Rhinolophus ferrumequinum: one gene and its partners. Each later gene encodes a partner of the first gene's protein in a complex. Links are inferred from orthologs where the notes say so. Each region holds a gene or a part of one and is shown on either strand. Other genes may lie near its edges.

Evidence for each region.
Region 2: STX18 (region 1) and STX7 share a complex: the UniProt entries of both Homo sapiens proteins name them as parts of the SNARE complex. The link is inferred for Rhinolophus ferrumequinum from reciprocal best matches to the Homo sapiens genes STX18 and STX7.
Region 3: STX18 (region 1) and BNIP1 share a complex: the UniProt entries of both Homo sapiens proteins name them as parts of the SNARE complex. The link is inferred for Rhinolophus ferrumequinum from reciprocal best matches to the Homo sapiens genes STX18 and BNIP1.

Annotation. Positions count from the first base shown.
Region 1 is NC_046288.1:83,037,230-83,048,065, forward strand, and holds the start of STX18 (syntaxin-18), read right to left. Parts: upstream 4,256-10,836; 5' UTR 4,150-4,255; coding exon 3,982-4,149; intron 1-3,981. UniProt on the Homo sapiens protein: Syntaxin that may be involved in targeting and fusion of Golgi-derived retrograde transport vesicles with the ER.
Region 2 is NC_046286.1:79,643,575-79,654,287, forward strand, and holds the start of STX7 (syntaxin-7), read right to left. Parts: upstream 4,596-10,713; 5' UTR 4,455-4,595; intron 1-4,454. UniProt on the Homo sapiens protein: May be involved in protein trafficking from the plasma membrane to the early endosome (EE) as well as in homotypic fusion of endocytic organelles. Mediates the endocytic trafficking from early endosomes to late endosomes and lysosomes.
Region 3 is NC_046307.1:38,785,776-38,796,290, reverse strand, and holds the start of BNIP1 (vesicle transport protein SEC20), read right to left. Parts: upstream 4,367-10,515; 5' UTR 4,302-4,366; coding exon 4,218-4,301; intron 2,437-4,217; coding exon 2,344-2,436; intron 796-2,343; coding exon 703-795; intron 1-702. UniProt on the Homo sapiens protein: As part of a SNARE complex may be involved in endoplasmic reticulum membranes fusion and be required for the maintenance of endoplasmic reticulum organization. Also plays a role in apoptosis.

The DNA of each region.
Region 1 (10,836 bases):
CTAGTGGATAAACAACAAATAAATGGATATGTGATATGTTAGATAATGAAAAGAATAAGGCAGAGTAAGGGACAGAAAAAGGATGCTACTTTATCCAGGGCAGTCGAGGAAGGTCTCATGAGGGAATGTCTGAGCAGAGACCTGAAGACCAAACTATGTGCAATCTGGGAGGAAAATGTTCCAGGTGGAGGGAACAACATATGCAAAGGCCCTGAGGTAGCAGTGCGCCTGCGGCGTGTGAGAAGGCAGAGGCGAGGGCGTGGGAGTAGAGGAAGAGGAGAGAAAGGAGGCGAGTCAGAGAGTCCTGGGGACCAGATCATCTGGCTGCGGGTCACTCTGAATTTCAAACTGGAACTCAAGATAATCAATTCCTAAGAAAATAAAAATATGTGACATTTAGCTTTCACACAAGCAATGTATATTACACAAAGAAAACCTCATCGACATGCCTCATCTGACAGCAGAATTCCCAACAACTCAGGGTTGCTCTTATCTGATATGTAATCAAAACATCTTTGTTTGACAAGAAATCGTTGCCGTTATCTAGTCTGAGCTCTGAGTTTTACCAACGTGGAAACTGAGGCCCAGGAAGATTACGTGGCCTGCCCTCTTAACGGCAGGCCTGGGCTACCACAGGTTTCCTGTGCTTTTCATTGGCCCCTGCCGCCCCTGGACAGTTTGGCCGCTTAGAGGGGTCTTGGTTTCCTGTGTGGTGCTTTCCCTGGCCTCTGTAACCTTCCTAAGTCAGTAAGAACATGAAGAGCTGCCATCCGAGGCCCCTCCAGACACATTCGCACACCCAAAGTCTGTCATTCCAAACTCCCACAATTCCAGTTTTTCATTCCCCCCAGAGTGAAGACCACCAGGCGGGCAAGGGGGAGGCATTCAGGCACTGCGCTGGCCACTGTGGGGACATTTCCGGTGCTTTTGCCGCCCAGCATCCCTCACTCCACACTCCTAGACACAGCACTCCCTTTTCCAAAGTCCGGGCGGGGCAGCAGTCATAGTATCCCACCCACCTACTGGGGTGGACATACCACCTGGCCATAGGAAGAACCTTATCGCTCTGATGCCACAATGAGAGCTCAGGATCCAGGCAGAATCAACGAGTGTCCTTTCCTGGGTGTGATGGGGAAGAGCCAGGGAAAGAAGGCCCATGCTGTGTTTCCAGCTACATCAGCCAAGACATTCCCATTTGGCTCAGGTGAATTACCTGACTAGCTCACCGTTACCTGCAACTATAAGAATTCACACGCATGCAGGGGCCAGCATAACTTTTCTCATTTCATTTGTACAACAACCTTACAAGGTTGCTCTTACTTGCTCTATTTTAGAAGTGAGGAAACTGAGGTTAAGTAACTTGACCAACTTGACACATTAGGAAGCATTCAAATTCAGGTCTTCCTAACCATTCAGTCTCCAGTTAGGAATTCAGTATTAACTCAAGAAGAAACTCACTGCCATTCGAAAGCCAAAGAATTTGGGGTTTAAAATTGCAGTGGAAATTAAAGGTAGGGGGATGGGGGACGGGGGGACTGCGTAATAAACAGCATTAAACTGGGGTCAAAGCACCTGGCTTCCACCTCAGGCTCTGTCCTACGACCTCAGCTATTAGGACTCTGGGCAAGTCGGTTCACTTACCTGGGTGTTAGTTTTCTCATCTATAAATTGAGAAACCTAAACAACATGAACATAAGATCCTTTTAAGTATATACAGAAAAAAGACCATGGTTCCACTTTAGGCATACGGGTTCTATTTTTACTATGTGTCAGGTAAGATGTCAAGCAGATTTCAACTTGAATGTCAGGTCCAACAACTGGTAATGGTTGCCTGGGGCACAATGTTGCAAAGGAATCTGAGCTACCCAGATCTGCTCCCAGGGTCACAGGGAGGAAGAGATGCAGACAGCTGATGCTTGCCACACATTTGCCAAAGGAAAGTTGCTGTCCCCACTGATGCTATTAGTACCTGCACGAGATTTGCACCGATTCCTTCTTGCACTTATTTGGTTCCCCTTTGCAAGCAAGGAATGAAAAGTACAAGAAAGCTAACTGGTTTAGGGAATATAACTTGGTACCAATGATGAAAATAGTCTAACAGCCTACACGGGGTTGGGGGTAAGAAGTGAAGGGAAACAATAATAACCAGTATGGTTCTTTATGATATATACTCATGGATAGCCTCACAGATCCTAATAATTAGTTTATCCGTTAAGTAAGGTATTATCGTTTCTATTTTATAGAAAGAGAAAATGAGACTCAGGTAATAGGACTTGCCCAAGTCACCAATTTTAAGTAGCAGAACCCAGAACCCAAGTCTTTGAAATCCAAGTCCTAGTTCTCTTTTCATTCCCAAGGCCCCCATTAGTCCCCACAATCCAAACGAATTTACTAATCAAACTCTCACTACAAAGCAGCATATTCATCACTGTTTGGGGGGAGTTCAGCTATGAGTTCCTTCCCCAACCCCCATCTGAAATGTCATTACTGTCTAGTAAGCTTGTACTTTAACGGGTAGACATGCATGAGTATATAAATCAAACATAAGTTAACCTATCTCCACACCTTTGTGCATCCTCTTCTTGGAGCCTGAGATGCCCTTTTGCACCCTGACTGCAGTAGAACCAACAACTACTCCTCTTTCAAGATTTGTTTCAGGCAGTATCACCTCTATAAAGCCATTCTTGGCATTCAGGTAGAACTGAACACATTCTCTTCTGTGCTCTACACAACACTTACAAGGCTTTAGGGCACATGTTTGGTTAATATGTCTGTTTCCCCCACCAGTCCTTTTAAATTGTGTTATTCTAACACAGTGCTGGTCAGAAGGTAGGTGCTTAATGGATGTTTATAAATGGACTGAATGAATTCACGTGGTCCAATTTCCTTCCCGATATTTGATTGTCCTCTGCAAACTGCCACTCATTAATTCATGCATACATATATTCATTTAAAAACAGCTGAGTGTCTACAAAGTACCAGGCATTGGACTGCATGCCAAACAGAAGTGGATTTACCATGAAATTAATGTTCAAGTTTCAGGGCCCCTCCCACTTACACCTCCCAAAGCTCTGAACCTTCTTTTGTGATTTTGCATTTTAATTTCTTAAAGAAAACAGACAGAACTGTATAACCTTCAAGCTCCACAAAATCAACACCTCCCCTTGGTGCTAAGGTTACAAAAGTGAACAAAGCAAACATTCTCTCTCCCCTTACCGTTTCCTCTCCCCTTACAGAGTTTAGTGGGGAAGACAGACAATCATTTGTTCATGTTTTCATTCAACACATACTAAGCAATGCTGAGTGGGGCACCGGCCACACTGTTCCTGCCGGAAGACGAAGGTCCCTGCTCCCCTGAACGATAGCCCGCTGCGTGCAAATAACATTCTGTAACAAAGATGACTGTAACAGAATGTTTGTGAAAGATACCTTAAACCAGTCTCAAGACGTACTGATCCCTAGCATGAGCCCTAACCTATTGCAGGAGACAAGGGGAAGCGACAGGTACGCTGAACACGACCTTTGACCTCAATGCAGGGGTGCGGGGTAAGGACGGAGTGGAGGAGCAAGACAGACAAGTAAATAGAAGAGGCAAATGCACTGCGGTCAGTGGTGCGACGGGAGAGCAAAGATCTGCGGGGAAGTCTCCCCGGTGTTCACGCCTGCAGTGACGGCGCACTCATTCCCTGCAAAGCAGCCCACGACCTTTGCCGACTACCATTTCCTAGCGGCTCCTCCCCCTATGAAAAAATCTACTTCGTAGAGTTCCCCAAGATATGTCCTCATTCCTCCGAGGCTGCTACGTTCCCAGGACAGCTGTCGGCTCTCCGGGACCAACTCTCCCGTCCCCCATCAGACCACTGTTCTCCAAGCGCTTCCTTCATACAAAGCTTGCGCGACAAGGTCCGTTTTGGAGTCTGGGGTCCGCGTTCGCGGGTCCGTGCCCTCTCCAGCCCTCCGTTCCCATAACAACCAGCTTACCACTTCGCGCGCCCGGCTGGAGAAGTCGCCTTTGGGCCGGGGGCTCCGGCGGAACAACTCGTCGCGGCTGCCATCAACGCCGCCGCCCACCGCCACTCCCAGCGCCTTGTTGCGCGTCTTCACGGTCTTGACGCTGGCCCGAAACAGCAGTGTGATGTCCACCGCCATGGCGACCCGCACTTACTGCCCCCGACCCAGCCGGCCCACGTCAGCAGTAGGCGACCAGGGCGCAAGCCCAGCCGCTGGAGGACTGTTCCGGCTCCGCACGCCTCCGCCCGCCAACCCGGACGCAAGAAGAAAGGTTCCGGCCTCCGCGGGGTTACCGCCGCGAGAGGAGCAAGGTTCCGCCCTCCGCCCACGCGCATGTGGGGTGCCCACGGCCTCCCCAATCCCGAGATGCGTACCCCCGTGCCCCTTTCTTTTCGCAGACAACCTGGTACCGCTTGGCGGCACAGGAAGGTGCCGGAGCCCCGAACCCTCGGGAGCCGGCCCGGGGCGTCAGGGCCCCGGGAGCGAGAGGACGCGGAAGCCTGGTCGGCTCCCGCACTGACTGAGCCCAGCCGCGCAGGTGGCAGGGAACCACAAACGACCCGGCCTGACCTTTGACCTCAAGGGCTCGCCGTGTGCGGGACGGTGACGATCTGGGTTCAATTAGTGCTAGGGCAGAGCAGGTGTGCGTGGCCCAGAGCGAGAGGCCAGAGGCCTTTCGTTTTCAGCCTTCAGCCACCAGACGCTCAGTACCTTCCTCGGAGTGTTACTGTGAGAATTAAATGAGATTTTACACGTGTAAAATATTTGGACGCTTCCTTGGCTCCTAGTGACCGATACCGATTAGTTACCGTTGTTAATAATCTCGTTATTTATGGTGGGGAGGAACTGTCTATAGGGAAGGCATCGCTATCAGAGAAGGCAGGTTTGAAGGATGACTAAGAATTTATTAGGTGGAGACAAAGGTGAAGAACGTCACTGGTTTCTGTTTATCCCTGATACGCAATTTTTAAACATACCCTTCTAAGTCATAGTTATTTAACTTGCACGTTAATCAGTGAGCTCGTACTACGTTTTTGGTTCAGGTTCAGATGTAATTCACGAGCTCATTGATTTCATTTGTTTTCATTGTTAAAGAGGATGCACAAATAGGATATCAAAACAGTGGTTGTCAAAGAGTGGTCAGCAAGATACAATTATTTTGATAATAAGATGTTATTTGACTTTTCACTCTCAATTCTCTCATGAATTACACACAGTTGAATTTTCCAGAGGCCGTGTGACTTGTGATATTGCAAAACACTGAATGCAGAACAGCTGTCTCCTATTAAGCCAGACTTTAAAGAGATTTGCAAAAATGTAAAACGATGCCATTCTCACGGCATTTTTTGTTTGTTTTGGGAATGTATTTTTTCACAAAAATACACTATTTGTGTTAATATGTTTGGATTTGTTTTTGTTTTTAAGGGAGTGAATATTTACAATTTTAGTTTTCATGTCTAATATGGTAAATACTGATAGATAAAACCCATACAGACAAAAATTATTTAGGGCCTTCAATACTTTTTAAGAAGGTAAAGGAGTTCTGAGAGCAAAGGTTTGAGACCCACTGTGTTAAATAAATACATTTGTCAAAAATTGATGTCAAGAAAGGACATATATGGACCTGAAAGGAAGAAGGAAAACATTATTTAAAACCCAAACTATAGCAGCTTCAGCCTTTCTGTATGAAGAAAATAAGTTTCCTGCAGCCTATGGAGTATGAGAGAGAAAATGAGAAAGAAATTACAAAAATCTCTGCCAATGATTCTGTATTACATAAATGGTCCTTTGTTTTATCAAGACATTAATGAGTCTTTGGCTATGCAAAGGTGAGCCTGGGGGCAGAGAAGAAGAAAGAGTTGAATTGCTCTGCATAATGTAGTGAAGGGGATTGAATTAGGGTAAAAGGGAAACCAGAGCCCGGGGAGGAGGCCAGGAAAAGAGTGCTTCCTTGGGGAAGGGTTTTTAAGTTGGAGGAGGCTGAACGACACCACACCAACCTGCAGTGTGAGCAGTGTGTTTGGTGCAGTGGGTTTCGGCGTGAGAGCTGGGAACAAAGGTCTGAGTTTTCTTTCTGGATCTGCAAGAGCAGGGAACATTCTGAAGGTGAGACCCAAATAGGCTGAAAACATCAGGCTCTAAAGGCACAGTAACCACAAGTACCTGCTATTCCTAGACAAGTCACTGTGGAGGCCATTCGTTTTGCCACAGCCCATGGGATATGAGACTTCACTTTTTTATTACTTTATTTTATTTTATTTTACTCTTTCGACCTCAAAGAGCAAGGGAACTCCAGTTGACAGCAGACTAACAACTACCGTGTTTCCCCAAAAATAAGACCTAGCCGGACCATCAGCTCTAATGCGTCTTTTGAAGCAAAAATTAATATAAGACCCGGTATTATATTATATTTGTTATAGCATAGCATAACATATCATTATATAAGACCCTGTCTTGTTTTAATATAATTTTTTTTGTATTATATTAATTTTTGCTCCAAAAGATGCATTAGAGCTGATGATCTGGCTAGGTCTTATTTTCGGGGAAACACGGTATTTGAAACCTCATAAAGCTGAAAGGGGATATGGATAAAAAGGAGGAACAGCATGGTGAGATGCTACAAACTATCCAGTTTGATGTACATAAATTATGTTTTATAAGTAACAATGTTTCATTCATTAGGCCAGGTACTCATCTCTTGAAAAAGAGTAAGGCGTATTGAAATTCCCTACAGCTCCCGTACAGCTCCCTACAACCACACCCTCCATACCCTCTGGATAGATGCAGACAGCTTTGAATCATTTGGGGACTCTCACGGAAGTCCTTAAATGCAGCCTCTACCAAAAAGAGGGTATATTGCACATTCAGATGCCCAACCCATGATGGACAAGTGCTGTGAGTGAGAAATAGATTTCTGTTTTTGTCAGCCACCAAGATGTCATTGTCACATCCCTTAGAGAAAGATGGAGTAAGCAGGCATTTGCTGCATGGAGGGTGCCCAGTGCCTGGAAGTGTGAATTCTTACGGGGTGGCACAGGAAGACCAGAGTTTCGTGGGCGCATGGAATCACAGACTTGCCACAACAATAGAGACTGGAGACCCCCTGTGGTAGTCTGTTTCATTGTTCTCTCATAGTCATGGTCTCTCCCAAGGGTAGGACTACAGGTCCTTGACCTATTGATGAATAACCTGGCCCGGTGATTCTTTTTAGCCACAAAAAGTGATATGTGATGCAAATTTAAGAGATAACATGTGGTTCACTGTGCTCTCTTTACAATGTTTCATCGGCCTGGTCCCTGAGTAAAGATGATCCGGAGCACAGTCAAGCAAGGCTGTGTGCTGGCAATGACAAGTAAACCTCTGGTCTAGTTGTGCATGGAGATTTGTGGTTGGTTGGTACTGCAGCATAATTAGCTTCTTTTGATTGATAAACCCATATCCAGATATCTGCCAAAACAAGACTGTTGGATGCACACTTCACTTACCATCATCAGTGGGTGGGAATTGCAAGCCTTGACATCAGGCAGAGATAGAGGCCCTAGGGCTGCTGAGTATCCAGTGTCTGCTGGTAGGCAATCCCCAGGAACCACCCAGATGCGGACACCAGTTAGTAAAAGGCATCAGAAGAGAGACTGGGGAGCTACTGCTCTGTCAACCCTCCTCCATATCTGACCTGTAGCTTCTGGACCCTGTAAGGCCCAGACTTCTCTGGACAGGAATTGTTGTCGGGTACATAAGAGACATTTATTAGATCTCTGAGTTCTTTCTAGTTCAAAAAAAAAGGAATTCCAGGAAGTAGTTAGCCAAGGATGAGTAATAGGAAAAGCAAAGGAACAAACAAAAAATACATGAGATTTGGAAACTGAAAGATGGGTTTGAATGCCCGCTTCCCTATGCACTAGCTGTGTGACTCTAAGCAAGTTACTTCACCTCCCTGAGCCTCATCTGAAAAACAGAGCAACACCTATTAACCTCTCATGTGATTCTAGGAGCAGAGATTCCCTTCTAAAAATTCTTCCCCCCCCCCCCCCATGGAACCGGTATTAGTGATCTGGTAGTTGCGCAATACCCACCAGTCTGCGTTTTTCACTTGGTTGGAGCCAATCTCTCAACGTTTCTGCGCTGAGGACATTGGCTCTTTTGCAAAGGTCAGTGGGAGGCAGTGACTGGCTGAGGCATTTGTTCTGTAGAATTGCACTTCACCTCAGAGGGGAGCTAGAAACTAGAATGCTACCAGATCTCTCTCCGTCTCTCTCTGCCTCTCTCTTCTTCGATATAATTATCTTTGCAAACCTTTTTTCTCTGCTTCTCATTCACATGGCCAAACATGGGCCCCTGTCAGATCCTCAGTTTATATGTTATGCCTCTAGTCACAGATGTATCAGTTCCAAGCCCAAATTCTGAGCAAGCAGAAAAGAAAACAAAGGCCCATCTTGGTACAGACATCTACCTCTGGTCCAATCAACTATGGCTCAGCCTCCAGTCATGTGGTTCAAACCTGACTGTCAGGACACACTCTGCTGGTTAGGGGCTTTGGGTGTGTATTCGTTTCCTGTGGCTGCTATAACAAATCAGCACAAAGTTGGTGGCTTAAAAGAATGCAAGTGTGCTATCTTCCAGTTCTAGAGGTCAAAACTACAAAATCGGTCTCACTGGGCTAAAATCAAGGTGTGGGCAGGGCTGAGCTCCTTTCTGAAAGCTCCAAGGGAGAATCCATTTCTTTGCCTTCTCTAGTTTGTAGAAGCTGTCCACATATTTTGGCTTTTGGCCCCTTCCTCCATCTTCAAAGCCAGCAATAGCGGGTTGAGTCCGTACAACCTGTCACTCGGACACGTATGCTTCTCCTCCCTCTTTCACATTTAAGAACCCTTGTGATGACAAGGGGCCCACCCAGCTAGTCCAGGATAGTCTCCTATCTGAAGGCCGCTGACTGACAACGCTAATTCCACTCGCCACCTCAATCCCCTCCTTACCATGTAACATAATATATGCACACGTTCCAGGCATAGGATTTAGACACCTTTTGGGGGCCATTGTTCTACCTACCACAGGGGCGTAGCTCCAACAGAAAGGTGGGATGATGATGAACCGGACAGATACCCCTTGCCTGTCTTCCTGGATGAACAGGGAGAGAGAGATCCACCCATAATTTTCCATTTCTCAATGTTTCTAGACCTCCTCCTTGTAACACTCCTGGGGGCTACAGCAATAAGGAGAACAGTAGTGCTGCCCTTAAAGGATGTACTATAGCAGGAAGCTTTCACCTATCCAAAGGATAAGGCAGCGCTCCTCTGAAATCTTCTAGCCCTGACACCTCTTGTCAGAGACGATCCTACTTCGCTTACCCCGTCTGAAAGGACACAACTTGCAACAAAGTAATCAATGGTCTCCAAACTTCAAGTCCTCGCTCTCCCTTCACCCCCGCCAGTTTGGAAGTTGGTGCCATTCTTCCCAGCAATCGCTTCGTCCACCCCGGGAGTTTCATAAATCACCTCATAAAAACTCATTTACTGGTTTCCCTGACATAATGGCAGAAATAAACTGCTCGATACACACTCGGAAGCCCCCTCCAGAAAACGTGTGCAGCGTTCTGTTGGCATGGCATCTTGGTTCCCAACCTGGGTGCTACCACCGTTGCTTTCTGACAGTATCTTCCATAATTAAGATGCCTGAATCCTTTACTTTTTATTGAGTTGGATGGCAAATCACAGAGTAAATGCTTTCCTTTGCACTTTAAGAGGACTTAATAGGAAAATATTTTTCCTACATCCTGTTTCAAGGGGAAAATGTGATTTTAGAGGACATTTTATAGCTCACAACAGGATATTGAAGGGCATTTGGTTTTGCTTAGTTTATTATGACTGTATTTCTCCAGCATTAAGTGGTGATTTCTGTGATTATTTAGATAAGTCTGATTAAGGTAGTGGAATAGCCATAGAATTGTGGAAAGTTTGGACTGGAAAGGCCCTCAAATATCATCCAGGCCAACTGCCCTCATATTACAGATGAGAAAACATGTGATTTGTCCGAGATCACACATTGAGTTAGTGGGGGAAAATGAGACTAGATTCTTTATCTCCCAATTGTTCGATGCCCACAAACCATTATGTTTTTCCTTTTTTGGCAGGGGAAGTGACATGTATACAAAGGGATCCATATGTATCTGTAAGTGCTTTTGAATTTAAGAATTGGGGGTAATTAGTAAATGTGGATTTCTGTGTATTTCATCCATTCCCCAATCCATCCTTCCATCCATCTATCCATCCAGTCATTCAGTCATATTCCAAACACATTTTGAATGTCTGCTCAGTAAGTGGGACTGTGTGAGGTGCTGAATATATAAAAACAGATCTGAAGTCCCCACCTTGGTACAGGTCAAAGACTAATGGATCAGACTAGTGTACACATAGGTCATTATCATTAATAGTTGCAATAACAAAGTTTGTTGTTTTTAGATGACATCTCTGAAGAATGAAATTTTTCAAAAAAACCTTTAACACCCACCTATTCTCTATGGATAGGAAAAGATCTGCATGAATTCAGCAGGGGCCTCAACTCCAGAAACAGGGTTGTAGAGAAGGTGTTTTCATGGTCCTTTCTGGTCGTTTCAGTTGTCCCCGTTTTGATGGGACTCGACAGCAGGTACCAGGTCTCAGCCTGGCATTGTGGCAAGAGCTTGCGCTCTGCATCAGACAGCCCTAGGTTCAAATCCCAGGCACTTATTAGTAGGGAGATCTTTAGAAGATGCTTCTTCATCTGCGAATTTAAGATAAAAATATCTATTCAACAGGGTTGTGTTAAAATGAGATTGTCTAAAGTGTGTAG
Region 2 (10,713 bases), on another chromosome or scaffold:
AGGCTATCCTGAGAAATTTCACTACCGTATCTACTTTAACACAGGTAAGAACAGCTCAGGAACATATGATTAATGGATCTGTAATTTTAATGGGAAAGAAGGTCCAATTTGAAAGAGCAAAGTCAACAAGTGAGGAAAAAAAAAGCAATGCCCTGTAAAATGCTCATCATACATATACCTTCCTGACAGAGCAAGGAGAACAACTCTCCTCGTCCAGAAGCCAGCGTCTTAGGATAGGAAGCTAAGCTGGGATACTGCTTTCGGGAGGAGGTAAGATGAAATTCTTTTCTTCCTCAATCCACCCCACACCATTCAGTTTGCAAAGACAGGATGAAAAGGGGTGCCCTATGTATAGGACCATGTCCAACAAAGAATTTCAACTATTCGTACACTATCTTTTCACTGAGTGTGCACTGAATACTGCAAAGTTGTAGGAGGTCAACTTGTAATCCAACTCTGCTACGAGTCTGCTACCTGCCCACCATTCAAAGAAGCACTTGGGAGCTGTAAGCAAATAAACAAAACAACAAAGATAAAGGATCTTCCCAAATCAAGTTTATCATTTAGGAGAAAGAATAAAGTTAATAATGTAAGAACAACAGAAGCAACACAAATCAGTAAAGGGTCACGTGCTACGCAGAAATGACAAGGAGTATGAAAAGGAAATATCACTATTGTCGCTATCTAAAAAAACTTATGAAACAAAAATATAAGACTTGGATACCTGAGTATGACTGGTGTCAAAGACATAAAGCCCAGGGTGGATATACCCAGAACATGTGGACAGGGCAACCACAGGGTGTCAAAGTTCCTGGTCAACCCTGTGTCAGATGATTCGTGGCTGGGGCAAGTGAGAAACAACACAGAAAGAAGGAGAGAGGGATGACCTAACATTTATTGCACATGTGTGAAGTGAAAAGCATTTCACATAGATTGTCTCATTACATTTTTAAAATCTCCCCTTTAAAGTAGGTAGTGGCCAATAAACTGTTTTAATGATAAGCAAATTCTGTGGCTTATAAAGATTAAGTAACTGGAAAGGTAACCCAACCCACCCACCAGGTGGAGGTGGGATTCAATCCCAGGGCTCTGGTTCCAAAGCTACCCATGCTTGGCTACCACACAAAGCTAATGTCCCAGAATAGGGCGAGCCCTGGATGCTAGGTTTGGTTTGAATATGTTGCGATAAGAAACCACTGGAGATATCTGGTAGGGGAGAAGAGGCCACAAGGAAATAGGTGTCTTTGTTCCAAGGGTCAGCGCAGGCAGAAGGTGCAACAGTTGACTGTTAAGATAGGTAAACAGTACTGATTCCATGCCTGAAATTCTGGTGCATCGTGGAATGTGCCTGGCCACCCTGGAATTCCTGGGCACTTTTAGATGCTCTCCACTCTCCTCCATCAATCCACAAGTCCAATTTATCTATTCTGAGCCTTCTGGACCTCATCAAGACCTATAGACCCAAAACCAACTTCATAAAAGAGTAAAATCAAACCTCAACTCAGACAGCAGAATCACTGTAGCAGAGTGGCAGGAATAAACTTCCTTCCAGGTAGCCTTGGACTTGGGCCTGCAGCCACCTGCAGTGCTGGGGCTCACACAGAACAAGGCTGGACCTGGGGATTCAATGAGACCAACACTCTCCCAAGCATCCTACAAACCACCAATTGGATTTCTAAATCCTGCATCTTTTCTCTTTTTTTAGAGCTTTAGTGAAATATAATTCACATATCATGCGACCCACCAATTTAAAGTGTACAGTCCAATAGAGTTTGAAAATATTCACAAAGTTGTGCAACTATCGCATCACATTTAGAACCCTAAAAATAAAGCCCATACACATCAGCAGTCACTTCCCCTTTCTTGCCAACCTTCCGAGCTGTAGGCAACCACTAATCTACTTTATGTCTTCATAGGTTTGCCTATTCTGCACATTTCATTTGAATGGAATTATGTAATACATGTTCTTTTGTACACTGGCTTCTTTCTCTTAGCATGTTTTCAAATTTCATCCATATTGCATCATGAATCAATACTTCATTCCTTTTATTGCCAAATAATATTCTACTGTATGGATAGAGACCATTTTCTGCTGGCTCAATGACATTTTTCTTTTTCCTTTCCTTCTATCAACTAGAGCTCTAGAAAAACTGGCACACAGCCAACACAAACACAGTGAATGAGGAAATGTTCCTTTTCTTATTTATGTACTCTCTTAGATGGGCCCTCCATCGATATGCACAAATACATCTATACACAAAGCAACAGAAAAGTCAGTTTCACTTTCTTAAGCATGAGGACCAGCGTAAAGAACTGGCCTTCCCTCCACCTCATGTCCCAAAGTGTGAAAATATATTTCTGTCAAAATATAGCATTTGACGGAAAAAGCAATGTTTTTTTTCTTTATATCTGAATTTAAAGAAAGTAATAATCTAAAAAACAAGAAGAAGAGGCATCTTGAAATATTTTATGTGTTTTTAAAGGTCTTTCTATAAACCAATTAATGAGGGGCAGGCAGTCTATTTTGTTGACTGCTGTATTCTCAGTACCTGGCTATATAATAGGTGCTTAATAAATATTTGTAGAATACTGAATACAGGTACCTATTTCCTAAAAACACACAACCAGTTTGAGGGTAAATATCACCATTTCTAAGACACTGAATTCCAGCACCTTCTTTCAGATCCTGAATGTCCCAGGCTAATTGCTTCCTTGGTGCCATTTCCTACCCCTAGAAAACTCTTCCCATGACCTCCATGTGACTGGCTCATTTTTTCCCAGCAAGGTCTCATCACATGCTAGGGAAGTCTTCGGTGACCACTCCCATCTGAAGTGAGATGTCACCACCCCGGCACAATCTGTTGATCTCTCTAACTTACTGTATCATAGTGCTAATCACCATCTAAAATGATCTAATTAGTATATTGCTTATTATCTATCCCCACCTCTGGAATATACATGAGAGAGAGAACCTTGGAATTTAGTGTCAGGTGCATGGCAGATGTTCCATGAATGGAAGGGTGATTACTCTATGGACCTGAGCATTCTCCAGATCAACTAGATTAACCACGTTCTTTATCTCAGCTCTTCCATCTGTTAAAACAGTATATTATTTGGCTTTAGTTCACAATACAAAGGATTATTTTTCATCCTTCCATACACTAAGTTTCCAAATTAAATAGAATCACGGCAAACTTTACTCAGACTTACTTCAGGTTTTACACATTTTTCAACCACTGGCACTTGGCTAACGTTTGTAACCCTAACCAAAACTACATTTGACTTTGTTATGGGGAGCAGCCCAAGTGAAATATCTAAAGAAAAATGATGCAGACGTTAATGAGTTAACACGGTATCATATCAACTTCTACAGAAACTTTGAAACTAGAGCATAATTCTGAACTTGTCACAAGTAGTTTGAGACAAACTCCTCAAAGTGGCCTGTCAAGCAGAGGTCTGTTCACATCACAATGCACAGTGTAACCGTGCTATCAGTTTATGCCGAGTGAGGTTCAGGCCACCCCTCAGAAGAAACCTGCACTCCCAGCATTACTAAACAGAACCGGACTTCATAATCATTTCCTTTTCTTTCAGATTCTGTGCAAGTTAATATATACATTTACCGGAATGAAACAAAAATGAATGTAAGTAAGAGCCAAGCAAATACAAGGCACTTGAGAAAAAAAAAAAAAAATATATATATATATATATAGCATTTGACCAGAAAAGCACTGTTATTTTTTTCTCCAAGTTTGATTTGAAAGAAAGTAACCTGAAAAACAAGAGGGGGAGGTATCTCGAAATATTTTACGTATTTTTAAAGATCTTTATATAAAGCAATTAATGACATGTACTGAGAAGACCAAGTTAGCTTTATCAAGCCAAATAGAAAATCAACAATGAGTCCCTGAATAAACGTATACGGTTCCTTTACTGTAGCCATATGTTTTTAGTTCCTTTATATCCGGGAAGAGAACTTTAAAATGTGTTTTCTAAATCCGAGAGTTAAAAAGAGGAAGAGGTCAACTCGTCTTCTGCTCGAGGCCGAAGCTGGATTCCTGGATTCCTGAGCAGCAGCCGGAGTCGGCTCCCGGGCGGGCTCCGCACGGGGGCGCGCAGCCCGCAGGTGCGCCTGAGTGACCGCGGCACCGCGCGCCCGAGGGGCGGCCGGGGAGGCGGCCAGGCTGCCGGCGCGGGGCTGGCCCGACGGGCCGGGCCTCCAGGCCGCGCCGCCGGACCCCGCCGCGCACCCGCGCCGAGCCGGGGGGCGCGGGGAGCGGCGGGGGTTCCCAGAGCTGGGGAGCAGCCGCCCTCCGCCTCCCGAGCGCCTGCAGCAAAGAGCAGGGCGGCGGCCACCTGACATCCCGTACAAACAGGGAGGCGCGGCAGCCGCTGGGACACTGCGCCTCCGGGACTCCCGGCCGGTCACCCTCCCTCCCCCAGGTTCCGCTTACCCCAACTTCCTCGGCTTCCTCCTCCTGCTCCGGCCACGGGCACCCAAAGGCCCCAGAGCCCCCAGATACGATTCTAAACTGAAGGGTGCTGGAGGTAGGCCGCCCACTGCGCATGCCCGCAGTACAGCCCAGGAAGGAGGCGGGGCTCGCTTCCCTCCAATTGGCCGCGGGATGAGTGACCGCGGTCCTCTCCCGCCCCCTCGTTCTAAGCTAAGGAATGGGGGTATCAGCAAAATTGCAAGGGAGGTGTTTTTTGAGGCCTGACATACAGATGGTGAACGCCTTAGCTTGCGTGCAAAAAACGAGGAGGGAATGGAGGGCAGCTGTCTTCTTTATTGGGTGATGCCGGCCTCTCTTGATGCATGTCTTCAGCCCGCCCCATCAGCTCATGCCTGTCTTGTTTCCTAACCCTTTACTCTGCAGTAGACCATATTCACAGCTCCAGTAAAAAAACAAGGGGGGGGGGGGGACACACAAATGCACAGTCCTAGCAGGAACAATGGAAAATAAGTGAAGAGTCACCTTTATGTGCTCATTTAGTAGACAAGTTTTCACAGCATGTACAAATCATTCCAAGCATCCTTGAAGGACAGGACACAGTTTTCATATGTTTGAAAAGAACAGAGTGTTATAATAATATTCAAACATAATGTCATTGTTAGATAAAAAGCATCAGTTTCTTCAGGTGAAAGAAATACCTCACCAAATTAAGTAGAAGATAGATTGGCTTGGCCTTTGCTTATATTAAGGCAACACTATTTTCTGAAAAGATCATCAGAACATCAAAAGTCCAGACGCACTTAGGTGGGAAAAAAAACAACAGTATTTTGAATTGGTACCACCTGAGCCAATTTTAGGTTGTTTGGTATTACACATACATAATCATATCGTACATAAGTCAGGTCAGCCAGGGATAAGAAACACAAGAATCTTTCAGTTTATCTTTCATTTTTCCACCTTTAACAGAGAAATGGGAGCAAGAGATATTTTCTATTTCTCATCTTTATTGAAGAAAACTACACTGCAAGTGTGATAATAAGCAGCAACTTACACTCTGCCTCTGTAAAGAGGGACCAATAGAAAGAGGTGGGCATGCTGGCCAAGCAGGATGAATTTATTGATAAATGAGAGGTACAGATTGACTTCTGAAAGCTTGTTTTTGATTTAAAACACAATGGGAAAACACAGATGCTTTCTTAAATCTGTGCTATATTAAAAGTCAGCTAAAGTAATACCTAATAAACAACAGTTGTTTTGTTATGATTATTTTGGAGCACCTCCGAGCTCCCTCTGCAATCTGCTTGTTTTCTTTCTAAGACCACACAGGTGCCTAGTGATATGTCAAGCACAGAACAGATGTTGCTCTGATTTTTAAACACAGAGGTAATAAATAGGCATCCCACAGAAATCTTAATGGACATTTAACCCATGGTCGGTACGTTCATTTCTCATTTCTCACCTCCTAAATATTGTTGATATGTGCCCTCTACTCTCTATCCCTCACGGTGTCTGGATCCACTTCAATAGCCTCCTCAATGGCATCTCTACCTCAGGTTGTACTCGACTTTATTATCTTCTGAGTCACCACTGAGTATTTGAAGCACAAAACTGAAAACATCACTCCAGGCTTCATGCCATCCCCATGGTTGCAACATGCCCCCAAATGTACTCCTTAAAAAAACAAAAACAAAACAAAACAAAAAAAACACTCCTTAAAAAAAGTAGGGGTGCTTACTGGGTTGTATAGGTTGAGGAAAGGAATTAGGGAAGAGTGTGTATGGAGAAAGGTCTGGAAACCCATGGTATAATACATTCTTGAAGATTCAGAGTGCATGTTTGTAAATTATAGGCTCTGAGAAGTTGTTCAGTAAAAAAAGAAGAACTTTCTTTAACCTGGTATTTTCTAAATGTATTTGACCATGAAATGTTTTTATATTTAATGGCTATAAGTTCCTGCAGAATATACATTGTGGAAAACATTGCTTTCAAAATCAAGTCCAAGCCCCTTATTATAGCATATAAATAAGGTGATCATGCGTCCAGTTTTTCTAGGACAGTCCCAGCCTATGCTTGTCCCAGCCTCTTGTCTGCAGAGAGCACCCACTTTCATTATCAAAAGTGTCCCATTTCGGAAGCGATGTTATATGGTCACCTTATATACGAGTATAAGGACCTACATGATCTGGATCCTGCCTTCCCCTGCATGAAAATTTATGCTTTGGAATATGCAAGTTTAAAGAACTTCTTCATCTCTTTCTGCTCCTCCCTTCCTCCCACCAGCTGTCCAACCACACACCAGAGGTTATCTTATTTCTGTGCTTTGCTTATGCAGTCTCCTTCAACTAGAATATGTTCTCTCTCCCTCCTCATTTTAAAGTAAACTCTTTATTTTACAATAATTATAGACTTACAGAAAAGTTGCAAAGATAGCACAGAGTTCTTATACACACCTTACAGAGATTCTTCTAATGTTAACATCTTCCATAATCATGGCGCATTCGTTAAAAGTAAAAAAAAATGAACCTTGGTAAAGTAATATCAACTAAACTATGACTTGGTTTGGATTTCACTAGTTCTCCATTAATGTTGATTTTTCTGTTCCAGGATCCAATTTAGGATATCATGTTGTATTTACACAGCTTGCTTTCTTGGTTTCCTACAATCTATGACAGTTTTCTGTCTTCCCTTTTTTCTCATGACCTGGACACTTTTTAAAGACTACTAGTCAGGAATTTTGTAGAATGGTCTCAAATTAGGTTTGCCTAATGTTTTCACGTGATTAGACGGGGTCATAGACTTTTGGAAAGAATACCATGGAGGTAAAGTGTTCTCATCATATCATTTCATGTGGTACATGAAACTTGCATGATCTATGACTGCTGCTGTTAACCTTGATCACCTGGTTAATACGATGTCTGTGAGTTTTCTCCAATGTGAAGTTACCATTTTCCCATTTCCATACTATATTCATTAGAAGAGAACTGAGTTCTATTCAATCAAGAGAACTGAGTTCCACCTCTGGAATGAAAAAATGTAAAAAAATTTATGGACATATATTTAAACTACCACAGTAAATAAATATTGGGAGAGAGATACTTGGAGGCCGTGAACATAACCTACATTTCCTTAAAGTTTTGCCCACTGACTAGCATTCATTAGTATATTTTGCCTACAGCAGTTATTACTGTTGTGTTTTAAAGGTGACTTTCTACTTCCTTCAGTTCTTCTGTAGGGAATATTTGTCTTTTCTCCCAAATTCATTTATATTTTAATCATTTATTTATATCAGTATAGATTTATGGATATTTATTTTATTCTGTAGGTTGTAATAAGTTGCCTCTCCATCACTGGGAATTTTTTTAAGTTGGCTCCTGTGTCCTTTTGAGAGCACCTCCCTCCCCTTCTCTTCCCCAGCATTTCCTTACTTGTTGGTACAACAAGATGCTCCAGGCTTATCTTGTATTTTCCCTGCTCTGGCTCTAAAATCAGTCATTTTACAATGAAGCCATTGTTTCTTTGACTGGAAAATGGTATTTGTATTCAAAGATCTGCACTCTAGCTTTCTCATTGCTACTGGGGTGTCGATTGCTTCTATGCCTTCTCAGTGCACAGAGCTAAGAAATAAATGTAAGTATATTAACTCATGTATACACATGTATCTATAATTTTATCTGTATATATATATATACATACACACATATATACATATATATATATATAAGTGTATATATATGAGTTCATATAGATATTTCCAACTGTAATCCAGTTCACAGGGTTCATTCTAACATTCCCGGCTTCATTATTGTTCACTTCCTCTCTCTAACAGTGAGGAACCTAGCTCCCATTATCTAATTCAATTACTTATTGTACAATGTAGTTTCAGAGTTGCTAACTCACGCTCCGGTGAGAGAAAAATTTGAGTACAGTGTTTATGAACAATTCTTTTGTCTTTAGCCTTACAATGTTTTTCAAATTACCAAGATCAGCTTTTTTCCCCCACTTCCATCAGTGAAGTCATGTTTGTATTACAGTCAAGTTCAATCATCATATTGTCTGCATTCTGTCTGGTGTTCACCAAGCACACCTGGTTAAATTTTTTTTTTTTTCAGTTTGAGTCAAGTTCCCTCTTTATGGTATACAATTCTATGGAATTTTGATAAATGCATGGAGTCATCTATTCATCACCCCAGTACCATACAGAACAAGAACAGTGTCATCTGCCTAAAATCCCCTTTTGTAGTACCTTTAGTCAACTCCTTCCCCAACCTTTGGTTTTCTGTCCCTACAGTTTTGCCTTTTCCAGAATGTCATATAAATTGAATCATACAATATGTAGCCTTTTGGACCTGACTTCTTTCATTTGCAGCATGCACTTAAGACAAATCCACATTGTTATATACATTAACAGTTTCTTCTTTTTATGGCTGAGTAAGTAATTCTATTATTTGGATGTAAAACTGTCTATACATTCACCTATTGATTGTTTCCATTTTTGAAAATTATGAATAAAGCTTCTATAAATATTTGCATACAGGGTTTGATAAAATTATAAGTTTTAAATTCATTTGGGTAAATATCTAGAAGTGGGATTATTGGGTTGTACATGTTTAATTTTAAAAGACTGCCAAATTGTTTCCAATTTAGCTGTATCATTTTTCATCCCTAACAGCAATGAATGGGGGATTGCTGTTGTTTTAAATCCTTTTCACCATTTGATATTATTAGATTTTCTTTTTTAATTTTATCCATGCTAATAGGCATGTAGTGGCATCTCATTGAGGTTTTAATTTCATTTCCATAATGATGTTGAACATCTTTTTATATGCTTATTTGAAACCCATATGCTTTCTTTAGTGAGATGTTGTCCATCTTTTAGAGCAATTTAAAAATGAGAGAAAAATTTATTTTACCTTCATATGTTTCATTTCTGAATCTTCATTTCTTTGAGTAGATCCAAGTTTATAACTTATGTCATATTCCTTTTACCTGAATGAGTTTTCTTATCTTAGACTGAAAAGGGCAAAGAAAGCAGAACCCTTAAGAGAATGATTTTGATTTATATTTATAACACACGTAGGAGAGGAAAAATAAAATTTCCCCTATTTGCTTAGGTTCAGTAGCTGGGGCTTACAAATGAAACTAATGAAAAACAGATTAACAGGATAAAAAGGTTTATTTTGCATGAGTATAAGAGCCAACAAAAGAAGCAGCTGGTTTGTCAAATGATTAGAAATGATGTTTATATACTTAAGTAGTGGGAAAATAGGGAGAAGAAAAGTCTTCTTTTAGGAAAAACAAATAGGTTTCTCTAAGAAAGACAAGTAGGATTTTAGGAGAACAGACTGGAGATAGGAAATTTGTGATAATGTTTGTCTATACAGGTATGAGTGGTCTTAAAACTTCCCTGGAGAAGGGATTTGGGGTAGGTTTTATTTGGGTTCTCCCTTCTGAAAGACCTTCTCTGAAGAGGAATTTTGCAGCAGCCTCATTTTTCAGAAGTTGCTGCTTTTAGTCAGATAAAAGATTATTTAGCTTAAAATAATCTTTGTGCCAAAGTAGCATATTTTAGATAGTATATTCTGATCCCCTTCACACAAACATTTATAATTTCTTCATTAAAATCATAAACAAAGTGAAAGAGAATGGCAAATAAAAAGAAAATATCTGCAAGCTCTAACACAGAATGTTTACATCCTCTTATCATTTATAAGAAAGACAAATCTCATGCAGTGGACGCTAGTGATTCCCCAACAGATTCCTTTAACTGTCATTGTAACCAAACCACAGTTGCTGTAGGAGCTAAGAACAAATCACAGCTGCCATCTCTGGAGACTGCCTTTGGCTCAGGAGGAGCTGCCCCACCCAGGAGTCAACCTTCCCTGATCCCACTGACTCAGTCAATGACCCATTGACATCAATCCAGGACTTGCGGTCGAACTAACTCTGTGGTGTAACTTGTCTTCCAGAACTCTCTGTGGGATGGACTAAAGCTAGTCTCCAGCCTAGCCTACGTTCTTAGTCTTTCCTTCTGCTTATTTCCTTATTCCCCTTCTCCTCTGAATATTCTTCCCAACTTCTCTTCTTCCCCCCTTCAGTGTCTCCATCTTGAGAAACCAACCTAAGACATCACACTAGAAAAATTAGCAAAACCTCAGAGTAGACAATTCACAGAAGTGTTAATCCAACTTTCCTAAAAAATAAAGGTCTAAGGCAAAATTTTACATACTAATGTTTTTTTAAAAAACTGAAATATAAGTGA
Region 3 (10,515 bases), on another chromosome or scaffold:
AAACCAACGGTCCACCACAGCGAGGGGCCGCAGACGTAAGAGCCAGCAGCCCGAGACCCCGAGATCGTCAGACACGGAACTGCTGACAGACTATAATTAAAGACGGCACCACATCTCAGCTCTCAAGTCATGTGTTTTTGTTTACAGATTAAAGCAAGTTCCAGTTTCAATCAAGCTACTGATGCTAAAACAACACTGTATTCGTTCATTTCTACACTAATTATGTATATACTAATTTGCACTTTGCACACGCTGGTCAAGAACAAATGTCTGTATCCACCATTTCAATAGCTCGGAGGTGACTTCCAAGTTATGGCCCCAGGTATTGCTGAGGTAGAGGAAAAAGGATGTGAACTGGAAAAGTTCTGCAAATGTAATTAGTTAATTTGCATAATTATTTGTTTAAAATCTAGATTTCTTACTAGAATATGAAGTCTGCAAAAGCAGTGCTGTATCTAGTGTTCACTAAATATACCCCTTGTGTCTGATACGTATTAGGCACCAAATTCTCCAAGGGAAGAATGGATGTATGGGAAGGAGGGAGGTGAAGGAGGGAGGGAAAAATGTACAGTTTCCTCGTGAAAGATTGCCTGGAAGTTCTCTCACAGAGACCCAGAGATAGTTCTGGAAGAAAAGGTATAAAGTAGTTTGCACACAAAGACACTCACACAGATATTTCCACAGTCACTGCCCAGCACTTACTATGTACAGGACACCATATCCTGAGGCTATGGGGCCAATTATTCTCCTAGCATCACACAATCTTGTTGCAAATAAATAAAGAGGATGTAAGATCTGAAAAAAAATCAAACAAATAGAAATCTTGTATGTGTTTCCAGGTATGAATGTTTAGGAAATACAAATTAAAGCTGGATGGGGTTACTCATTCACTGTCCACGTGCTCACAGGGCCTCGACTGGTGCCAGGAGGAGCTGATGACAGAGGGTGGTGGATAGACATAATAAATATATAAATGTACTGGGGAGGTAATTGTCATTAATGCAGGAAATACACATTGGGTGAGCAGGCACTTAACAGAAAGAACAAGGAAATACTTGGTGGGTATGGTTGGAGAGTTGAAGTCATGTGAGTGGAAGAAAGAAAGGTCTTTTAGGGAATAAATTAGCTTTAAGAAGCAAAAAAAAAAAAAAAGGGCAATCCAAATAAATGTCCTTTGATAGAGGACTAACTAAAAAAAAAATATGGCTATGAAGAAAGAAAGATGAAGCTCCCCAATACTGATATGGAAAGATTTCCAATACATATTGTTAAGTTTTAAAAGGCAGTGTTTTTACATGTTACCTTTTAGATGAGAAATGGGAAAGAAATAACATTATTTGCATTGTTTAGTCTCTGAGTAGAGAAAACTATGGAAAGATACATAAGTAACAAATAAAGGTGGTTGGTTACTTGTTTGGAGAACACAAAAGGAGAATAACTGAGACTTCGCTGTGTGCCAATATTTACACACATACACACACATATGTATAAACCATGTGAGAGCAACACCCTTTCAAAAACATTAAAATGATTAAATCAGTGCTAGTGATGAAGGCAGAAAAGACACTACGTTCAGCGACACTGCTAAAATTCTAAAGTGAACTCCTATGACAAAAAGTGTATTTTCAAAACTGGGCTTGAAAACCACACAGGACATAGACATACTGTTTCTCAGGGTCTAAACGGCCAGTTCTTCTACCAGCTTTGGAACAGACTGTCTTCTTCTGTTAAGGAACAACAGTTGCTGGCTGGCATTTGGAGCCATGCGATATGAAAAGCAGAAGTCTTTAAACCTCAGTACCATATGCAGCCAGACCAGGTGCGCAAGACTCACCCAGAGATGGGCAGATCCACGCCCCCCATTTTACCCTCACTGAAGGCACAGAGGCAGCAACACCTGTACTATTCAAACTGGTACCTCTCCCTGTTGGTTTTTTAAGACGGCACCTATACCACAGTTGAATTCAAGAGTGTTATATGTGCATATGCTGTGACTGGTCACTACAGAAAACAGAAAGGAAGGGGCTGGGCAAAGCGGCAGCCTGAAAAAAACAACAACCCAGGAGACAATGGGGATGGATTGGAGACAGCGCGAGAGAAAAAGCAGTTCAAGTGACCTCAGAGTTTTCAAGTTGAAAAATTCCAAGCAAAGACGACTGGTGTCCCTGCCATCCACTTAGCACAGCTGGCAGTGCTCTGCACTCCCAGTTCCTCATTTTTACCTGGACAGCAGCTTAGTACAGTTACTCTCACTGTCTGAATGTTTCCTCAAGAACCTGGACAGCGGTGAGTCCCAGGACCAAGTCCCCTGACTCTCAGCATCTCAGTTCCGCAGCCACTCACCTGGATTCTGTGTCGTAACTGTTGAAACTTCTCTTTCACTTTAGTGTTCAATTCAGTCAGTGCACTTAATGGTCCTGAACAATCTCGAATATCCTAGGAGACATCGAAGAGGTGAGGGGCCTTTCTCAAGGCAATGAAATGAAATGACACTGTCTGTACAGTGAGAGCGTTAGCTTAGACCACCACTTAAGGTAGGCCTACTGACGTGATCGCTGCTGTTCACCTCTGCGACACAAGCAAGAACGTTATCATTTACATTTTTCTCATCCCTCTTTAAATTAATTTTGAGTAGGTAATATAAAAGGATACAAAGAAACACAACTCTGTCTCGACTTATTAGTTCCTAAAGTTTAACAAAATGCCACCCGACCGGTAGGAAAGGCTTAACGCAGCTTGTGTGTTCAATTAAAATGCACAGCCAAAAGTGATACCATAACTTTAGAGCTTTCCAACTTGAAAACCAGGGTGCTAAATTCCTGGCATCGTAGGACGAGATTGACTTCAATCTGATTCTACAAACCACCTACTATAAATCACAGTGTTTATACACATATTCTAGGGTAGACTTAGAATTTGTTTCTGAACATTCAGAATTACTGGAGTCAGGTTTTAGAGCAGGCCCTACAGCCAGACTATGTGAATTCAGATTCTTGCTGTAGCAATTTACTAACTATGTAACCTTGAAAAAGTCACTTGAGTTGTCTGGGCCCGTTTCCTCATCAACACATTACCTAACTCATAGACCATGTATGTATGTAAGGTGCTTGGCAGAGGAGCTGGAACACAGTAAGAGTGCAGTGAATCTAGCTATCATTAACCTTTCTCATCAGAGTCTAGAATTGGTCCGTTTCTTAGTTTATGCATGGGAGAAGGAAGTTCAAGAAGTTTAAATGTTTATATCAAGTTTCCTCATTTGTTCTCTGGCTTACTCATTAAATCACAATTCCTGGCACCATATGATAAACCACTAATTCAGTTTATTTTACATCTGGTTTCCGTGGGGAGCCCTCCTTTCCTTCACTTTTTGCCTCAGCTAGCTGCAAACTTTGAGCCTACGCCTGATGTTTAGTAACATTTGTGGGAAATAGAAACGACTTGCTTAAAACAGGGTTTAAAACTCTTGGTTTCTTTTGCTAACCTCAAGGAACCATTTCTACATTCCTAACTCTTGCCTATGCCATGGTTTATTGTACAGCTTTCTGCCTTTAAATGGCGTGAGCCAAAGCACCTTCAATTATCTCAGAGTAGAGACTAAGTCCCTTCTGAAGGCCGACTTTCCCCGTGCAGGTCCCAGTTTTGCTACTACCTGCCTTCTGATCCAGGCGTTGGCACTTGACTCGATTCCCTCATTTAACAAAATCACAACTACGGTTCAGGTTACATTCATTTCATCCGTGCCAAGTGGTCTTGAGTGCCACGGGGCACCGGACCCAGCGGAGCTGGCCAGCAGGGGGCAGGGCTAATGCCTCCAAAGCGCTACCAAAAAGTGGGGCGGGGCCAAGCAGGGTGATAGGTAGGTTGTGAGGTGGTCCTGGGCGAGGCGCCAGCCAGGGGTGCGGATGGCAGGGACCAAGCAGGGCCACAAAGGGGAAGCCTGGTCAGGGGAGGGGGACACGGGGGTGTCCCGGATGAGCGCGAGCCAACGACACCCGGATGGAAGCTCAAGGCCCATGGTCAAGGGGAAGAGGGTACAGAGAGGAGGTAGCCGGCCACAGAGCTACCTATGAGTGCTCGGGGCCCGTCCTGAGTCCTCCACAGCTGGGGTCCTGACCAAGTGGGGAAAGCGCGAGAGTGAGACGGCGGAGCTCCCTGGAGACCAGCGGAGCTCGGGTGTAGGGCGGCTGGAGCCCGACATGGGTCCCGGGAATCAGTACCTGGATAAGCGCCTTCACCTCCAAGTCGAATTTGACAATCTCTTGGTTACAGATCCGGACGTGGACATCTTGGGAAGCCGCCATGTTGGAGACGCCGACTACAGGCAGCGGCGGTGGCCAAGTTTAAACGCGTTTCGGCCTCCCGGTCTCGCGGCAGCGCCCCCTATAGACCGGCCCGAGGCGAGCGAGAGTGGCGGCGCCGAGTCGTGGGGACTTGTCCTTGACACCGGGGGCGGGTGAGGGGGCAGGGCGGAATCGGCCTCGTTTCTTGGTGTGGTCCTAATAAAACGGAGAGGAAGAGAAGAGGGAATATCAAGAACGCTTTCGCGGTGGCCTCTCCCCCATCTTCCGCCTATCTGCCACTGTAATGGTTACAGATTTTTTTTGCATATAGAGAGAAAAAAAAAAGATTGGAAGGAAAGTATCGATTGGGATGTCTCTGGAAGGTGGCATTAACAATTTTTAAATATTTATTTAAACTTTCTTGTATTTTCATATTTCACAGTGTACCCACTTCACGTCTCTGTGCCTCAGTTTCCTCAGAGGCTACCTGGTGGAATCACAGGGTGGGCTGAGGATTAAATAAGACATGAAAAGCACCACGCAGTGTGGTAATGCGACATGTGGTAAGAACACAATGCACCTTGACGGCTATTATTACACTTCGGGAACACTTCCTCTGTACCAGGTACTTGTACTAAGTGCTTTATGTGTATCATCTAACTTAACTCGCATAACAACCCCACGAGATAGAATTATCCCATTTTACACACGAGGAAATAGGCAAGGAGAATAATAACTTTGCCCGGCGCAAATGGAATTGCCAGGTCCAAGGGTATGTGCATTTAAAAATTCTGCTACATGCGACCGAACTGCTCTTCACAGAGGTCATTATCAGTTTATACTCCCACTAGCATGTGGTACAAATGCCTGCTTTCCCACGGCCTTGCCAACATGATGTGTTAACAAACACTGGGATTTCTGCCAATTTGATTAAGTGAAAAACGCCATCTTTTATTTTGCATGTTTCTTATCATGAATGAGGTTGAGGACTATTTGTATTGACTTATTGTTGGCTCATTTCTCTATTGGGTTGTTGGTCTTTTTCATATCAGTTCCCAGGAGCTTTTTGTGTATTAGGAGGATTATGCCGTTAGCCGTGAGCTTTTTTCTTCGCCTAGAGAATGTTGAGTTAGTTGGCTTACGGTGTTTTTTTGGCCTTCAAGGTTTAAATTTTTTGCTTTATTTTTGTTCCACATAGAATTTACCAGTCTTTATGACTCCTGGATTTGAAATCCAAGTTAAAAAGGCTTTTCCCCCCACCCACAGGAATTGTTTTTATGATTTTTAATTTTTTTTATTTTACATTAGATCTTTACCCATTTTGAAAAGTATGTTGGCTTATGATGTGAAGTGTAGAGCCAACTTAATTTTTTCTAGAGGGTTACCCAGTTTTTCCAACAGTATTTTCTGAAGAATCTTTTTCTCACAGGTTCAGGATGCCACATTGACTAAATTCTTATGTTTGAATCTATTTCTGTCATTAGCCTGTCCATTCATTCATGCACCAAAATGACACTCACAATGATAGTTTTATGTATTTTACTATGTTGGGATTGAACACCCCCTTTTCTTTCCCCAGCATCTCCCACCTATTCTTTTCCTCATGTGAACTTAGTTTTGTTTTTAACCCTATTGGTATGTCCTTCCTGGGATGGCATTACATTTTTTATTTAACTTAGGAGAACTGACAGCTTTGTTCTCTTGAACAGTTTCTTAGACTGTTCCTGTTCAAGAACTTGGTCTATCTGTTATTTGTTCAAGTTTTCTGTGCCCTTAGTATTTTCAAGTTTTCTTTAGACCTCATGCAGTTCAGTTCATTCCTGGCAATGTTCAAATTAAAACCTTTTAAAGAAACTGAGGTTGAGATTTTTCAGGTCATACGTTCTGGATCCCCAAACAAAAGCTCCCTATTCCAGACAGTGAAGAAGCCCAAAGTCTGCAAGTGACAGATCTGCCCATGTGAGCTGGGGCCCTTTCACATCATGCTTCTTGCTGGAAATACCTGTGCAATCAACAGTTCCCAATTGCCTCTCTCAGCAATTTAAGAAGAAAACACATCTCCCCATTTCTCTACTCTCCGACATACTCCATTCTAACAAAAAGACCCAATTCTAAGCCTGCCAGCTAGCGGCCATCTTTGAGAGAGAGGTTTGCGATTTGGTGACCCACTGCCAAACTGCCAACGCTGTTTTGTTCTCATCGCCTTTACCCACTGATCCTGAGACTAGCTTTTGGTTACTAAATGTGTTAGGTTTTGACTTTAGTCCTTTCTGGTTGTCAGATTCTAAGCCCATTATCTCCATTCCACACAGACATCCATCCAAATATTGCCTGTGACTTGGCCTTAGGAGTGTGAATTGTTTCCGAGTGCAGCAAACAGACGGAGTTTGAATTGGAGCTGTTATATGTTGGGTCCGGGGTGAGTGCCCTTATCTGAGTCTAGTTGATGACCACCCACTTCACTGGGCAATTGAGAGCAGGAGCCGAGTTCTCTGACAAGACAGCACTGAGCAGGGGCTTCATGAATGCCACCCTGACCATCTAGGACTTTCTCACGCCTTCTTGCTGTTCTGAACCTTCCAGCTGGGACATTAAAAGATTTCCCAGCTAAAGTTTTTGTGGCTAAGGAGCTTTCCTGGCTCTGAAATCAATGTTGATGAGCAGGGACAACTGAATGACCCATCTAACTGGGTGACACAGGAGGTTTAGTTGTCTAAGGACTAGACAGACCTGACTCACCCAGCTCCTTCAAGTTCCTAGACCATGAAAGAGGCTCCTGTGAAGAGTGGTCTTGAGGTCAAGTCCTGAAGCACAACCAGTCCATGGGAGGCTATGTCCACTTTGCTTCCTGACGGCCTCTGTGTCACTCAAGGGAAGCAAAAAGGGCTCCTCTTCATGGGTCCAGGCATGTAAGGAACACAAGCCTGTCAATTCTTCTCTAACATACCCCACTGGATGTGGTATCTGTGTCCTTGCAAATAACTCGGCGGTAACATATCTAGAGCCCTTTGCATGTGTAACAACTCTTGTGTTGTTCTGTGGTCCTGTTCACAGGCCACCTCCCTCAGCAGACTGGAAGTCTCTAGTCTCCTTAGAGCCCAGTACCTAGGCACAAGTCTTGGCAGAAGGAGCAAGTCTGTTTGTTCGCTAAAGGAACTCACTGCTACAGTGGTCTCCCAACTGAAGGCTCTATGTATGTCCAGCCTAGCTTGAGGACTTACTTGGAATTATTAAACACACAAAAACCTACAGATGTTTGAACGAATAAGAAACAAAATATTTAATTTCCCTCAGAGAAATCACTTGTCCAAAGAATCAGAGGAGAATAACTATACACTAAACTATGCTCTAAACTATGAAGAATGCAAGTGTTATCAATAAATAATTCTACATTATAGATAAGTTTTGCTAAATTACTGGAGGAATCAGCCCACAGTGTCAAAAAAAAAAAAGTTAGCTCTTTGTACACTACACCAAGAAAAGGGGGGGGGGGCGTGATCCATAGTTCATTGCTGTCTTTAGTTTGGAATTTATTTGCAGTGGATTTTCTGGAAGGGAGTTGATGGTTACCTTGGTAAGCAACAGAAGAGCAAGAGACAGAAGGGCAAAAACATGAGGCAAACAATTCAAGAGCTTTTCTTTTCATCTTTTTTTATTTTAAATTACAAAGGATGTTGCATACACTGATGAATCTGTATCTGACTAGAAGTGCTGAGGGCTTGGAAGATGACAGAAAACAAAGGCAACAGCTGAATTGCCTTTTCTTCTGAAAAGAAAAACTGCACAACTATTAACCAACATTTAATAGAATAATTTTTAAACAGCTCATGCGTCAACAAGATAAAATTCTTTCTAGACAAAAGACAAGACTGAATCCAATAAAAAGTTTCATAGCTCCAGTTGAGGGGGGTGGGGAAACAAAACTACAGAATATTTATGATAGCGTTACAAACAGGATCCTACACAGCTATGCAAGAGAGGTTGCCACATTGTATGAATAAATGCTTTGAATTCTTGCCCTTCCACTCTTGTGACTTATGTGCGGTCAGCCCTCGTATCACTGTTAACCACAAATTCTAAGTTATAGGACAAATCCTAGGGAAAGAAGGTAAAAAAAAGCAGGCAGTGGAGTACAGTGTCATAAAAATGTGGTCAAAGGCAGATACAGTACACACATACACATTTCTGTTATTTGGTTCTGAAAAATAATAGGGCGAAGGGCAAGACACAGTAATCAGTCCCGCTCCCGTCCCCCCAGAATTCAACGACACCATTGTGTTGACAGTTACGAAAGGCAAACCTAGTTCACCTGAACTTGGCACACCGAAATACCCAACTCGGCTGTTCTTGAGTAGTCACCAAGTCTGCAATTCCAAAATACTATGGGAAGTAGTTTCAAGGTTCTATTCTCTCACTACTACCCCCAAATCTCTCTTTTCGAAACAAAAAAAATGGCAATTTGGCATAATTCAATTTCTAGGTGTAGTTTCTACAATTTCAGTCAGTTTACTAAGCATGAGGATTATGCTTCAACACATAACCCCACTTGCCTATGGAAGTGTAAAACTTTCAGTAGTACATTTTCATCATCTTTCCCTAACATGCTTATTCCTTAAAACGAAACAACCATTCCTACAGCTGACATTGTTACATCCCATTGTGTTTGAAATATTAAAAAAACATGGAGTCATCTTCTCATAATGCCCTTATTAAGATTACAAAGATTACAAAAGAATCCACAAGTATTACGGCACTGTGTGAGACTTATTTGTCATGATTCGAGGGAAGAACAAGACTGCAGTTCTGTGCAAAGTTGTGGAAATGGCCTCAGTTCCACGGGAAATGGTATTCCACAATAGACTTCACTAGAAGGATAATTGAAACCTTTTACTTTAACACTGAAAGCATAATTCAATGCATTCTCAAAATTCAAGTTTCAAGATTTGGAGAGATGCTAACATTCTGTTACATAATTAACTAGAAAATACTTAAACAGAATTTCAGGAAGACTATATAAAGGGAACATAAATTTGTTACTTCCTGTTGAAGGCAACTTGAATTCGTCTCTTAGAAAGTTAACTAAATCTTAGCAGCTAAAATAGTTTTAAATGTATGGAATAAAGAAAAGCACATCCATTCTTGACATTTTGGTGAATAAACTAACAGCTTTATTAATGAAGGCAAACATCAGATAATTGTATGAATATTATATATAAAAAAAGAAATCCAAACTAACAGCATTGTGTTTCAAAATTACTGTACTTCTGTTTCTTTTAAAGAGACTTGTCATCTGTTTTATAAAACAAACAAAATGGGTACTCTTCTCCTAAAAAATTCTGGAAAAATGAAATAGTCAATTTCAAGTTGATGAACTGAACACATCTCTTTAAATGCAGACTATTGCTAAGGAGCAAATAAAGTCAAGCATCAGAAAGAAGATGTCTGACAAATGCATGAACATCAGAAAAAAAGGGATGTAGTAAAATTACTGCTACTCTTTCCCCCTCATATTCAAAGACCATTCAAAACTGGTCTTCCATACAAACATAAAATAACTATAAAGAGAGGGAACTTGAAACCAGACTCATCTGAAATCCTTCATGATGTTTTTATAATAGCTCTGATTCTCTTACTAAAAAGGTCAAAGTGAAAGATTTAGGAAGTGGAAGAGAATGAAGACGTTTTGTTTTAATGTACAAGTAAGGCACAATATAAAGCCACATCATAATGTGTCATGAAGGATCTAGGAAAGGACAAGAATCATACATGGTACAGTAGAACAAGCGGTCATATTGACTGAAAAAGTGTGGCACCCAATTCAAAACTCAGACAAGATCTTATTAACAAGAACTGGACAGCATGCTTTCATGTGGAGACAAACTCTATAAAGAATCCAGTGTATCTGAAACGAGGAAGAACGTTTTTTGTTTTTTTGTCTTTTTTGTTTTGTTTTGTTTTTAAGTCATAGTAGTACTAGAGTCAACGTTTATATAATTGCTTTTGGAACAATGGGGTTTATTTGAGGTGAATTCACAATGCCTTCACTTAAAGTAAGATTCTGGACTTCATTATGAGCTATCTGTATACCATGTATGAACACAGAAAACCTTTAGAGAGCTCTTCTCTAATGATCTTCACCCAAAAATACATGCCACAATTTCAAAAACAGAACATGTACAATTGTTGGGGTTTTTTACATTACCCTTATAAGATTTGCTTGTGTGATACACTAAAC